3 linked regions of the Coturnix japonica genome follow. The protein of the gene in region 1 binds, or shares a complex with, the protein of each later gene. Links are inferred from orthologs where the notes say so. Each region holds a gene or a part of one and is shown in the gene's direction. Other genes may lie near its edges.

Region 1 (4,113 bases):
AAATCACATGAAAGGCTTTGGCAGAACATGGGCAGAACATTCACACTGCTCATTTTCAGTTACTAACCAAAGGACTCGTTATGCTTCTCTACCCCCAGGTCTGCACATGGCTCCTTTCTTGGGCCTCTTTGGCTTTAGGATGGATTTCTGTGCTGAGAAGATACACAAAGCAGCTGAGTGCCCTTGCCCAGCCCAGCCAACCAAAGCTTCTGCTCTGCTTGCCGGATGGGCCTCAGAGCAAATGAGCCCCACAGCCCAGGAAGGAGCTGCTGAGTGCTGCACCTTGACACTGTGTTGGGCCATACTGCACAGGATGTACAGGATACATCACATTCACTTGACATCTACTGCAAGCCAGCAAGGTTCAGGCTAAGCCGAGTGGATCGGAGCACACACGTCATCTCAGAGCTCCTGGTGTGGCTGCTGACAGCCGATGTGACCATGGTGGGGCTCTCATCCCTCCATGGCGTCACCTCCTCTCTGCCGTCCCCACAGCTCCCGCCGCTCGGCCAAACCAGCTTCCTTTTCCTGTGGGGCTTTGTCCCGCTCACGGTAGCGCCGGCCCCAGCACCTCGTGGTTTCACGGCCCCCATCATCTGCTCTCTCTTCCTTCTGCATTATTTAAACCGCCTCGCTCCGGCGGTCAGGGCCGGGTTAGATCGAACAGAAGCCACACGTTATTTACGAGGGGGACGGCGCTGCCTCCTGCTCCACCGGCTGACTTCGGGGCCTACAGTGACACAGCCCGACCCTCCGCTCGGCCACCGCGGCCGGACCCAAGGCTCGACTTTAACCACTCGTCACGCCGGTGCCGCCCGCTCCCAACGCCGGCAGCGGGGGCTCGGCCCGAGGTTCCCAGCCACGCCCCGTCAGCAGCTTCGCAGCACGTCGGACCCCGCCGGCCTCCCGCACGGCGCGGCTGGCCCGGCCCGGCCCCGCCCGCCGGCAGCTCGGCCCCGCCCGCCTGACGCGCCGCCGGCGCTGGCGGGCTGGAAGTGGCGTACGTGCAGAGCGGGCCGCGAGCGTGGCGCCTCCTCCTCGCCCCGACACGGCGCTGAGGCGCGGCGGGCAGGGCGGCGGCCGCGCCGGGCCGCGCACTCGGCAGAGCGGCCGCGCACCGCGCCAGCCGCCCGCTCGCCCCGTCTGCCTTCCGCCGCCTCCCGCGGGGCGGCGATGAAGCGGCGCTAGAGGCGCACGGAGGGCCCCCGCGGCGGCCCCGCGCCTGGCCGCGCCGAGGAGCGGGGAGGGAGGCCGCGGGCCGACGGACGCGCAGGGCGGCGGGGGCCGCGGCGAGCCGGGCGGCCATGATGCAGTGAGCGCCGCTCCCAGCGCGGCCGGGCGGGGGCCCGCGTAGCGCCGCTCCCGCCCGCCTCCTTACATAACGAGCGGCGGAGCGGGGCTGCGGCCGCACCAGCAGCGCCATGGCGAATGACAGCGGCGGCGGCGCCGGACAGGGCGGCGGCGGCAGTAGCAGCGGCGGAGGTGGCAGCGGCGGCGGCAGCAGCAGCAGCGAGCGGGACCGGCAGTACTGCGAGCTGTGCGGGAAGATGGAGAACCTGCTGCGGTGCGGGCGCTGCCGCAGCTCGTTCTACTGCAGCAAGGAGCACCAGCGGCAGGACTGGAAGAAGCACAAGCTCATCTGCCGCGGGGGAGGCGCGGCGGGCGCGGCAGGGGGCGCTGTAGAGCCTCGCGGCGCTCAGCCCCCGCCGCCCCGCGCTCACGGCTCCCGCAGCGCACGCGGCGCCTGCGGCCGCACGGAGCAGGAGGCGGCCAAGGGAGCCGCGCCGGGCCCCGAGCCCCACGGAGAGGCCGCCCCGCAGGACGACGAGCGCGTCGCGGCCGCCGGGGGCGGAGAGGCGGCGGCCACGGCCCCGGCTCCCGCCACGGAGGCGGTGTCGCTGTACCGGGACAAGTCGAACCTGTACCCGGGCGGCGTACAGGCGGGGCCCGGCGGGGCCGCCTTGCGTCCCAACGGGCAGACCAAGTCGCTGGTGCCGCAGCGGCTGGCGCTGGAGTACATCGTGCCCTGCATGAACAAGCACGGCATCTGCGTGGTAGACGACTTCCTGGGCAAAGAGCTGGGCGGGCTGGTGGCCCAAGAAGTGCGAGCCCTGCATCACACCGGCCGCTTCACCGACGGGCAGCTGGTCAGCCAGAAGAGCGACTCCTCCAAGGACATCCGCGGCGACAAGATCACCTGGGTGGAGGGCAAGGAGCCGGGCTGCCAGACCATCCGCCTGCTCATGAACAGCATGGACGATCTCATCCGCCACTGCAACGGCAAGCTGGGCAACTACCGCATCAACGGCAGGACGAAAGTGAGTGCGGGACGGGGTGGGGACGGGCCGCCGGCCGGGACCGGGACCGAGCGCACGTGGTCGCCGATGCGCTCCGGGGCGGCCGAGGGCGCAGAAGCGAGCCCCGTTGTGTCGGCCTGATTGGCGATTCTCTTCAGGTCCGCCGCATGAGATCGTACGCTCCGTGAAGGACCGCGATGAATATTCATTACCGTCTTTTCAGCCCCTTCACAATTTGCTGCCTCTGTTGAAGTATAAGGCTGGCAGTGAGATGCCGGGGGGCGCCCGGCGAGGCCGGCCCGGGCACAGAGTCGCTGTTGTTGGTGCAGCTGTGGGGCCTCAGCTGGTGGGAAGCGGGAGTGGGAGGGGGAGAGAGACAGCCCCGGGTCTGTTCGGATGCGCTGAGTTACCTCCTGCCGCAGAGCAACGTGGGGGGAACTTCTCGTTTCTTCTTTTTGTTCTGCGATGCAATCTGCGCGTACCGCCAGTTGAAGCAGTGCTCTGTGAACGCCATCACAAACGTGGTCTGGATTTCTCCTCCTGCTCTGTTGACTCGGATTTTTTCTAAGCCAAAAAGTTGTGTGCTAGTGGCACGGGCTGCCCGTGCGGGTGGTGGTGTCACAGTCACTGGAGGTATAACAGAAACGTGTGTGGGCACTAAGGGATGTGGTGGGTGGGCTGATGGTTACACAGGATGGTCTTAGTGCTCTTTTCCAGCCTTTACGATTCTGGAAAAGAGCACTTAGGTTGGATGTTAGGGGGAAGTACTTCACTAGGAGAGTGGTTAGGCCCTGGAACAGGCTGCCCAGGGAGGTTGTGGATGCCCCGTCCTTGGAGGTGTTCAAGACCAGGTTGGACGGGGCCCTGGGCAACCTGATCTAGTAAAGGTGTATGTTTGGTGGCCCTGCCAGGCAGGGGGGTTGGAACTACATGATCCTTGAGGTCCCTTCCAACCCGGGTCATTCTGTGATTCTTTAAGGTGCCTGTGCTTCAGACTCACCTGCTGCAAACATCTGGAGCCTTGAGTGCTTCCCAAGAGAAGCACTGTTTTTGTCTGCGAGCACAGTGATGTGCTGCTGGAAGTAACGTGTGCCAGGGCAATACAGCAGCAATACAGTTGTGAAGTTTGCTGAGCACCACTTGGTATTCACTTGCTACTGAAATAAATCCCTGTGTTTCCAGGGACCGAAGCAGGTGCAGGCAGCCCTTTGCTCCTCGCTGGTACAGAAATGTATTACTTTCTGTCTTCTCCTGTTCCCTTGCTTATCTCCCAAAACCAGTGCTTCTGGTGTTGCAGGAAAGCTTGGTTTCCTAAAGCTTCAGCACAAGCAGGAGGAAATCTGTCCATCACTGTTAAAAATTTACTAGTGAGTGAAGGTGTATCGCTGCAAGGGGCTGCACAAGTTGAGTGGAAGAATCAGACTTGGTTGGTTTGTCTGTGTTTGTTCATAATGTCTGCAGGGGTAGCAGACTCTCTCTTGCATCCTTGGAGGCCTGCACCTTTCCTTCACCCTTCTGCCAGAGTGAGTAGAGCCCAAGGGCAGGAGCTGCTTTGACATGTCCCATCAGAGCTACTGGGACAGAGCTACTGGCTCTGGGAGGATGGAAACACGGTGACACCTCTGGGTTATTGGGAAAGTCTTGTTTTTTGTTTCCTTCTCGTCTCTGCTTTCTCTGGATCAAGGTTTGGTCTCACTCCTGCAGGAGTTGCAGTTCATTTTGTTCTTAGCTGTAGAGATGAGTGTGCAGCAGAGATGATGCTACTACACAGCAGTTACCCCAAAGCTTTTCTGTTAGCTCACCATACTTGACTAGA
Region 2 (3,647 bases), about 12 Mb from region 1:
ATACTCAGGAACCCTATCAAGTTCCCCCTCAGGACCCCCAATACATTCTCCCAACATGCCCGTATATAAAAAAAGGTAAGAATTTATGTTTTCCATTGGAAAATATTTGAGCAGAAAGCAGTAGATATCTTGAATACATACAACTCGTGTTTGTGCTTAGCAAGGAGACAGGCATAGCTTTCAGAATCCTAAGATTAAAAATCTCATGACTCTTTTCCATATTATTTTTACGCTTGGCTGGAGATTTTAGAGGCTACTTATGCTAGTCTTTGATCCCCAAAGTAAAGTGTTCCCAAAGCATGTGGGATGACTAACAAAAGGAAACAAAGACATTCAACATACAGTGTCACGTGTCTAAAGGCCTCTTAAATGAAATAGACGAAAGAAGAATCTGTATAAATGAAAAAGATGGTTTAGATTTGCCTTCTTGCTCACCCAGAGATCTTTTTTCAACAGGCTGCTGGATGGTTTGGGGCAACGAGGCATAGATATAAACCCAGCAAGAATTGCTTTGTCTAATAGTTTGAAGCTGAAGCGACAGTTGGATTATGAAGAGCAGGCAATGCAACAGCTGACTGGGGTAATCATAAGAAAATGCATCCATTTCAGAATTGTGGATGTACCAAGATCATCAGTGTAATCAATTCATTTTGCTTTTCTCCAAACTGTAGGGAGACCCATCTGCCATTAACCCATCTCAGTTAATGTGGAAGAGAATGAAATTTCTCAAAGGGGAAAACTGTTCCTTGCTTACGGAGAAGAAGTCTCTCAGCACAAGTGTTCTTACTGGTAAGAGAAAAGAAATTGGTTCTGCAGTGTTAAGCTACTTTGAACTCCATCTCCCATATAGCTTACAGTTGAACAATTTATAGTATGTTTGATAGCTGCCAAGTAGATTGTTTCATATATGTCCATACCCTTACTTGGGAGGTAAATAGGGATCAGTTTAATAGAGGTAGGTTTACCTAGCGCTGATCCAATGTGTGGGCATTTAAAGCTAGAACAGATGCTTTCTTTCTACAGCACTGTTTTTCATTATTCAAAAATATCTTTAGTACAACACAACTTGCAGGTAGTACTGAATTTAGATATGCCTACATAGATTCATCGTCACACTGAGGAACAATTTGCTTCAAATTAGTATTAGCTTCTATAACAATTACAATGGCTTGATTTTTTTGTTTTCTCCTGTATGAATCAGATGAGTTTGTCTGCAACTCGAGAGGTCTGAGCCAACCAATGAATCAACTGCAGCTGCAGCAGCAACAGCAGCAACCCACCTGTGGCAGTCCTGGTGAAAATCTGAAAGCAGGAGCGTTTTCCCCTCAGTTTTACAGTCCCCATTATCAGGACTATACTGTGCAGTCAGCTCATAAAGTGTCAGGTAAGAGTTACCAAATACAGGGGCTGAAAAATGTTGGCATTTAGTTCCACTACAGATTCCATGAGAATAAAGCTTTTAACACAAAAGTAAGAGAATGTTAAACCAAGAGTCAAATGCGTGTTACACAAAATAAAAAATTAATTTGGCTATTAAAAGTTTCACATTAAACACATACATTTGTGATATATGTGAAAAAACAATTTTTTTCCCTTTGTTTCATTTCAACTAGTACCTCTGTTACCTTAGTAGTCTAGTCATCTTCCTGCATGTTCTTGTCTTGTGACAAAGGTGATTAAACTGTACTAAGCAACTTCAGTGCAGCAGTGGTAGCTCATGTTTGTGGATTACAGACCAACATCTGCCTTCTAAAAATTAATATCTGCAATGAAAGGAGATGTATGGAGATAGAGCAAGGCTGTCATTTTATGAGCTATGTTACTATAGCCTTCTTCATTTTCACTGGTGTCATTTTCCTCTGAACAATCTGAATTTAGAGTGGAAGTGGAAAACTTTGTGCTTGTAATCCCATAAAGCAGAGATGCTTTGTATTTGCTCTGAAAATGTTAACTGTTGGTAGTCTGAGGTGTGCTGGCATAAGTACAATACATAGTAGTAACTGGTATAAACAGAAGAGGAGGAAACATTCTCTTGCCCTCATTCTCTCCCTCCAATCTCAGCATCCTGATTTACTGTTTCAGGTGTGACGAGTCGTCTGCTGGGGTCTTCCTATGAACCATATTTGCTGCCTGAGTTGACAAGATATGACTGTGAGGTAAACGTCCCTGTTTTGGGCAGTTCCACGCTTCTGCAGGGCAGCGAACTGCTCAGAGCCCTGGACCAGACAACCTGAGCAATCCTGCAGTATTGGCCTATACTGTTCAAAACAGCTTCAGTTTTTAAATATATTTTTGCAAGTAGACGATTTCTAATACCAATACACTTTTACAGGATTTTACATAGATATTGAATCTGTCCACGTTACCAAATAGTGGCCTTTTGAAGTTACTCACTTCTATTATTCATATTAAAGAAATACATCTACTGTATTTTCTCTATTCCAATTAAAGTGTTGTTTAGAGAGTTTGATTACCTTCCCTTTATCTTGTTACCTGTAATTTATACTCAAATTTCCTTCGATTTTCATGCTAGTAAAAAGCTGTGGTATAAATGCCTTGTCGCATGATACTTTGGCTGCAGTACTGCAAAGATTTATTTTTATTGCCAAAGACAAATGAAACAAATTTGATCTCCAACCACAGTTTTTTGTTCATTTGCCAAATTGAAATCCTTTGAGCCTTTCTATTTTGCAGCATTTATTGCTTTCTAACTTCAATAACTTCTGGAAAAGCATACTAAAGAGAAATCCCAGCCTTCTGCCTTCCTCCCTTCCCCTTCAGTTTTATACACCTTGGTGAAAGAAATGTGAATGGTCAACGACAGTGTTTGTGGGTATCTGTGAAGGTTGCACACTGTAAGCTTTTTTCCTCAGAAGCAAGTCACGTCCTCTACTGACTTAACCTAGCTTAGTGCTAGGGACACGACTGTCCCACAGATTTATCCCAGTGGAGGATTCAGACCTGTGTTTTTGTTTGCGTTGGGGTTTCTTGCTTGTTCTACTTTTGGTTTTGTTTTTTTCTTTGTTGTTCCCTTCATTTTTTTTTTACACAAAACATCTTTTTTTTTTTTTTTTAACAGTTTCTCTTTGGGTCAGTTGTTCATCATCTCTTGGTACTTTTGCTACATCTAGAACACAAAAAGTTAAGAGCTGTTTCTGCTAGAACCAGTAGTATTTCTTGGAATGTTAAAATACTTCAGGAATGTGACCAATGGCCAGTAGTAACACCTCTGAATACTGCTACCTTTTTTCTGGTGTATGTCTGGCTAGCAATATAATTTCAATATTGAAACTAGGAGTAGTATTTTCTGGCATATTATGCTAACTCAATTGTAAGTGGAGAAAAAGAATTAAGAATGGTGTAGTGAGATGAATTACTGAAAGACAGGTTTTTCTCATTTTAACTTACCTTATGTTTTAATCAAGTGCTGAAATGTTATTAAACTCAGATGTTTTCAGGGCTCTTTTTCAACTATGATGTATTGTCATACACATTTTTAGAAATAAGGCTATGAATGCTTTCAAATGTTGAAGGTTGAAAATTGGAGTGTATTTAAGCAGCAAAAATATTAAAACTAATAAAAGTAGGTAGGCAGTTCTGACTTTGAAATAACTACATATTGAGGTATTTATTGAAATCCATCTGGT
Region 3 (3,647 bases), on another chromosome or scaffold:
GAAGTCACTCTATGCAGTCTTAGCATCTCATCTGTGACAGCTGAGGAAGCATTCATACCTCCATTCTTTATTTTTTTTGCCATGGGGTTAGCAGATTTAAAACAACAACAAAACAACAAACGTACTTATGCTATCAGTCTTATTCGCTCAATGCTTTGCACTTTCATGCATGCTGTGCCATTGCTTTCAGTAGCTCCTAAGAATTCACAGCTCTGCTTCAAGTTTTATTGCCTTCTGTTGCCTTTCTCATGCAGTGGTGCTATGGCTGTGCTACAGTGTTGCTGATATGCATTTCAAGGTAGCAGAACACAAGCAGTTCTATATTAACTATTGTAATAAACACAAACTTACATGTTGAGAGCCCTTTTAAAGCTTACAAGTTTGTATTTCACCCTTTGCTAAACCTTCTTTTTGTGCCTGATGAGTGTTATAAATATTTTGACAGTTTCTGCATGGTCAGAAGGTGAATTTTCCACATAGTGGGGGGTCTTAGTGACATTATTATAAGCAGGTACTTTTGTCATCTGGTTTCTCTCTCCAGAGTGGATTTCTGAGTGTACAAACTAGGCGTTGCAGACACACAGAAGAAAAATTATATTAAATCCAGGCTTGTATCACACAGAGATTTGGGACTATGCAAAAACTTGCCATGACTTCCATGGCTGTATAGAAGCACTATTAATTATTGAAAAGAGCAAAAATAATTGAAGACAAAATACAACTTCAGGTTTTCTGGAAGATGAGAGAATTAGGCAAAGACAAAGTGTGCTATAGTGATATTAGGAAATAGTGATACAAATAGTTAAAGCAGAAAAAAGTGAGCTATTTTTCTTCATATGGAGGGCTGCAATGCATTCCCAGTAGTAGAATGGAACAAAAACCAGTACAGGAACAGTACCGGTGACTTGCTATGAATGCAGCTTCTGAGTTGTTTAACTCCTGTTACACAGCTGTCTTTTGACTTGCATGCATGTTTAATAACCTGAAAAGCTGTCCCTTAATGGCAGGATTCTTAAGTACTTTTTCTTCTTTCCCAACAGTCAGCATTACTAACATGGCAAAATTTTGCAGATTCAACCCCTTGTTACTAAGATGGTGTTTTTTCCTTTCATCCCATCTTTGTTTCAGTCGAGGCCTTTTCTTATTCTAATTATATGGAGTTTTCCAGAGCTTTCTGATCTCTACATCTTGGATGCTGCCATCAAAACAATATGCTAAGGAGCTGTTCTGCAATAGAACGGCTCTGGACTGCATTCCCCTTAAGCCTTAGGTCAGTTGGGTTTGGTGGCAGCATCTGGTGCACAAGCAGATTTTACAACTGAGATGTAGATAAAATCCACTGAGCGAGGTTCCTGACTCTCCTGTTTACACTATTAATGCCAGTGCAGAAAACCATGAGACTCCAATGGAAAAATGTGATAGTTATTTGTATGAGAGCAGTGGTAATCAAATGGGCATGTATAGGTACCTGTCCGTGCTAATCTTGAGCCTGGTAGCTGGTGATAACCAGGATTCAGTAATTACTTTGTGCAAGGGAGGTAAACTCTGGAAATCTGATCCCATTTTTTTTTTTTTTTTTAAAGTAATTTTTATGGCTACTCTATTGGAAATATATTTGATCTCAATTCTGAACGAATTCATCTGTAAACTGTAATAAAGCCAACATCAGTGACAGGGATCCCTATTTTGGCAAAGGGGTGCAGAAGTCTAAGCAAGATGCACCATTCAACAAAGATGATTTTGTTTTACTTTCTCCTAGGGATCCTTATTCCAGCAGACAGGTGACCGTGGAGGAAACGCATCGCTTGCTTGGAAACGTGTAAAGGCGTGTAAAACAAACGGTCACAATGGAGTGGAGCAAAAGACAATCATTCTACTATCAACTGGTTAGTATCTTTAACAAACAAAACGTATGTAGAGGGGGGCAGGGGCTGTGAAAGAAAACTGATGCAAACATACCCCAGCTCATCTCATTCCTGAAAAATCTGGGAGGAAAGTGAATAAAGTGCACTTTTTTCCTTCCCCTCCCTCTATAGACATAGCGAGTAAACTTCTAGGGCAGTCGATGGATGAAAGTGGACTACCCCAACTCACGAGTTACGATTGTGAAGTAAATGCTCCCATACAAGGCAACAGAAACCTGCTACAGGGTGAAGAACTGCTCAGAGCTCTGGATCAAGTTAACTGAGCTTTCACAGTAGTTGTTCCTTTTTTGGACACTGGTGAATCATCACCTAAAGCAGTCTATTTATATTTTCTATATCTGATTTTAGAAGCCTGGCTACAGTACTGCACTAATTCAGTTAGTTCAGTTTTGATCCCCTTTCTACTTATTTTGACAGTCTTTTTACTACATTCTTTATGTAACAATAACTCAAACCGTAGTGCGTTTTTATAATTCTTTGGTACGTACACTTTAAAGTCCATTACATTTAAAACACACTTGCAACAGCAGCTTAGAAATATGCACCTGATTTTAAAAACCTATATATATTTATTTTTTTGGCTGGGGAGTTGGTCACCAAAATCCATCATTAGTAAAATGTCAGCACGTGAAAAACTGGCAATACTTCTATCCTGCTCTTCATAGGTAGCTGGAAGACTTGTGCTCTCTTACTCTTTATGTTCAAGTAAGGTTTTGTTTCGTTGTTTTTTTTTTTTATTATTTTAATATTTTTTTTATAAGAAACAACAACGCTTTGCAGCAGTGCATTGTAGCCACAATCGCACAATATATTTTCTTAAAAAGAATACCAGCAGTTCCTCATGCAATATATCTGCATTTATAAAAACTAGTTTTTAAGAAGAATCTTTTGTTTGCCTACGAAATCACGTCTAAACCTGGATTATGTCATTATTTTAGTCACATTGTAATATAAATTGTTCTTAAATGCTGTCTTATGCTTTTGACTTACGAGTGTGATTAGTCGAAGGGAAAGGATTGATCTGGGAAGGGCTAGCAGCATTTTATTTGGGTACATTCTCAATTTAGAGAGAGAGTTTGATGTTCTTAACGTAGTCACTTCGCCAGCTTAAAAGAAATCCCTGCCTGTAGTTGTTGAAGTTAATGCTAATATTGTGTATGATCTTAAATCTAAATGTTCAGCTTACCCTGTGTGGTATAGGTGATATTTCAAGCAGATTGTAAACCATCTTGCATTGTTAGCAGTTTTATCTAGTACATCATTGAGTTGCTCAATATTTTAATGTTTTGGTTTTTAAGCACCTTGTTGCTATTAACATCCGTATATTTTCGTGTAGATTTCAATAACTTGAATATATTTAGAAGCCTTTTTATTTAGAAATATATAGTTGTCACAAACATCTTATTTTCCTATATGTACTGTACAAAACATTCATTCACTCGTTCTTTTGCTCTTTGTGGTTGGATCTAACACTAACTGTATTGTTTTCTTACATCAATAAACTATATGTGGACCAGGCCCCCTCGGGGAGTGTGTTATCTGAGAAAAATGAGATAATTTATATTTTTGTTAGTGGTTATTGTTCATCCGTGTTCCCTTTTTAACTTAGACTTGATTGGAAATCACAGCTTCCTTATTTTGCTCACAGCATCTCCGACTTCATTATTTGAGCCTATTCGGTACTAAATTCTCCCACACAGTGTTGTACTACCGCCGGCCAAA

Evidence for each region.
Region 2: the proteins of EGLN1 (region 1) and EPAS1 are in contact, whole or in part, in a crystal structure (PDB 7Q5X), measured with the Homo sapiens proteins. The link is inferred for Coturnix japonica from reciprocal best matches to the Homo sapiens genes EGLN1 and EPAS1. Residues at the interface, in NP_071334.1 of Homo sapiens: Gln239, Leu240, Val241, Ser242, Lys244, Ile251, Arg252, Trp258, Asp277, Ile280, Arg281, Ile292, Asn293, Gly294, Arg295, Thr296, Lys297, Tyr310, Val311, Arg312, His313, Val314, Asp315, Pro317, Asn318, Asp320, Arg322, Arg370, Trp389, Tyr390; in NP_001421.2 of Homo sapiens: Asp525, Leu526, Glu527, Thr528, Leu529, Ala530, Pro531, Tyr532, Ile533, Pro534, Met535, Asp536, Gly537, Glu538, Asp539, Phe540, Gln541, Leu542.
Region 3: the proteins of EGLN1 (region 1) and HIF1A are in contact, whole or in part, in a crystal structure (PDB 3HQR), measured with the Homo sapiens proteins. The link is inferred for Coturnix japonica from reciprocal best matches to the Homo sapiens genes EGLN1 and HIF1A. Residues at the interface, in NP_071334.1 of Homo sapiens: Gln239, Leu240, Val241, Ser242, Gln243, Lys244, Ile251, Arg252, Trp258, Lys262, Asp277, Ile280, Arg281, Ile292, Asn293, Gly294, Arg295, Thr296, Lys297, Tyr310, Val311, Arg312, His313, Val314, Asp315, Pro317, Asn318, Asp320, Arg322, Arg370; in NP_001521.1 of Homo sapiens: Leu559, Glu560, Met561, Leu562, Ala563, Pro564, Tyr565, Ile566, Pro567, Met568, Asp570, Asp571, Phe572, Gln573, Leu574.

The regions. Positions count from the first base shown.
Region 1 is NC_029518.1:35,717,585-35,721,697, forward strand, and holds the start of EGLN1 (egl nine homolog 1), read left to right. Parts: upstream 1-1,278; 5' UTR 1,279-1,421; coding exon 1,422-2,318; intron 2,319-4,113. UniProt on the Homo sapiens protein: Cellular oxygen sensor that catalyzes, under normoxic conditions, the post-translational formation of 4-hydroxyproline in hypoxia-inducible factor (HIF) alpha proteins.
Region 2 is NC_029518.1:23,775,210-23,778,856, forward strand, and holds part of EPAS1 (endothelial PAS domain-containing protein 1), read left to right. Parts: coding exon 1-75; intron 76-456; coding exon 457-580; intron 581-671; coding exon 672-789; intron 790-1,201; coding exon 1,202-1,384; intron 1,385-1,625; exon of another isoform or gene 1,626-2,082; coding exon 2,083-2,234; 3' UTR 2,235-3,647.
Region 3 is NC_029520.1:49,067,657-49,071,303, reverse strand, and holds part of HIF1A (hypoxia-inducible factor 1-alpha), read left to right. Parts: intron 1-1,759; coding exon 1,760-1,886; intron 1,887-2,036; coding exon 2,037-2,188; 3' UTR 2,189-3,647.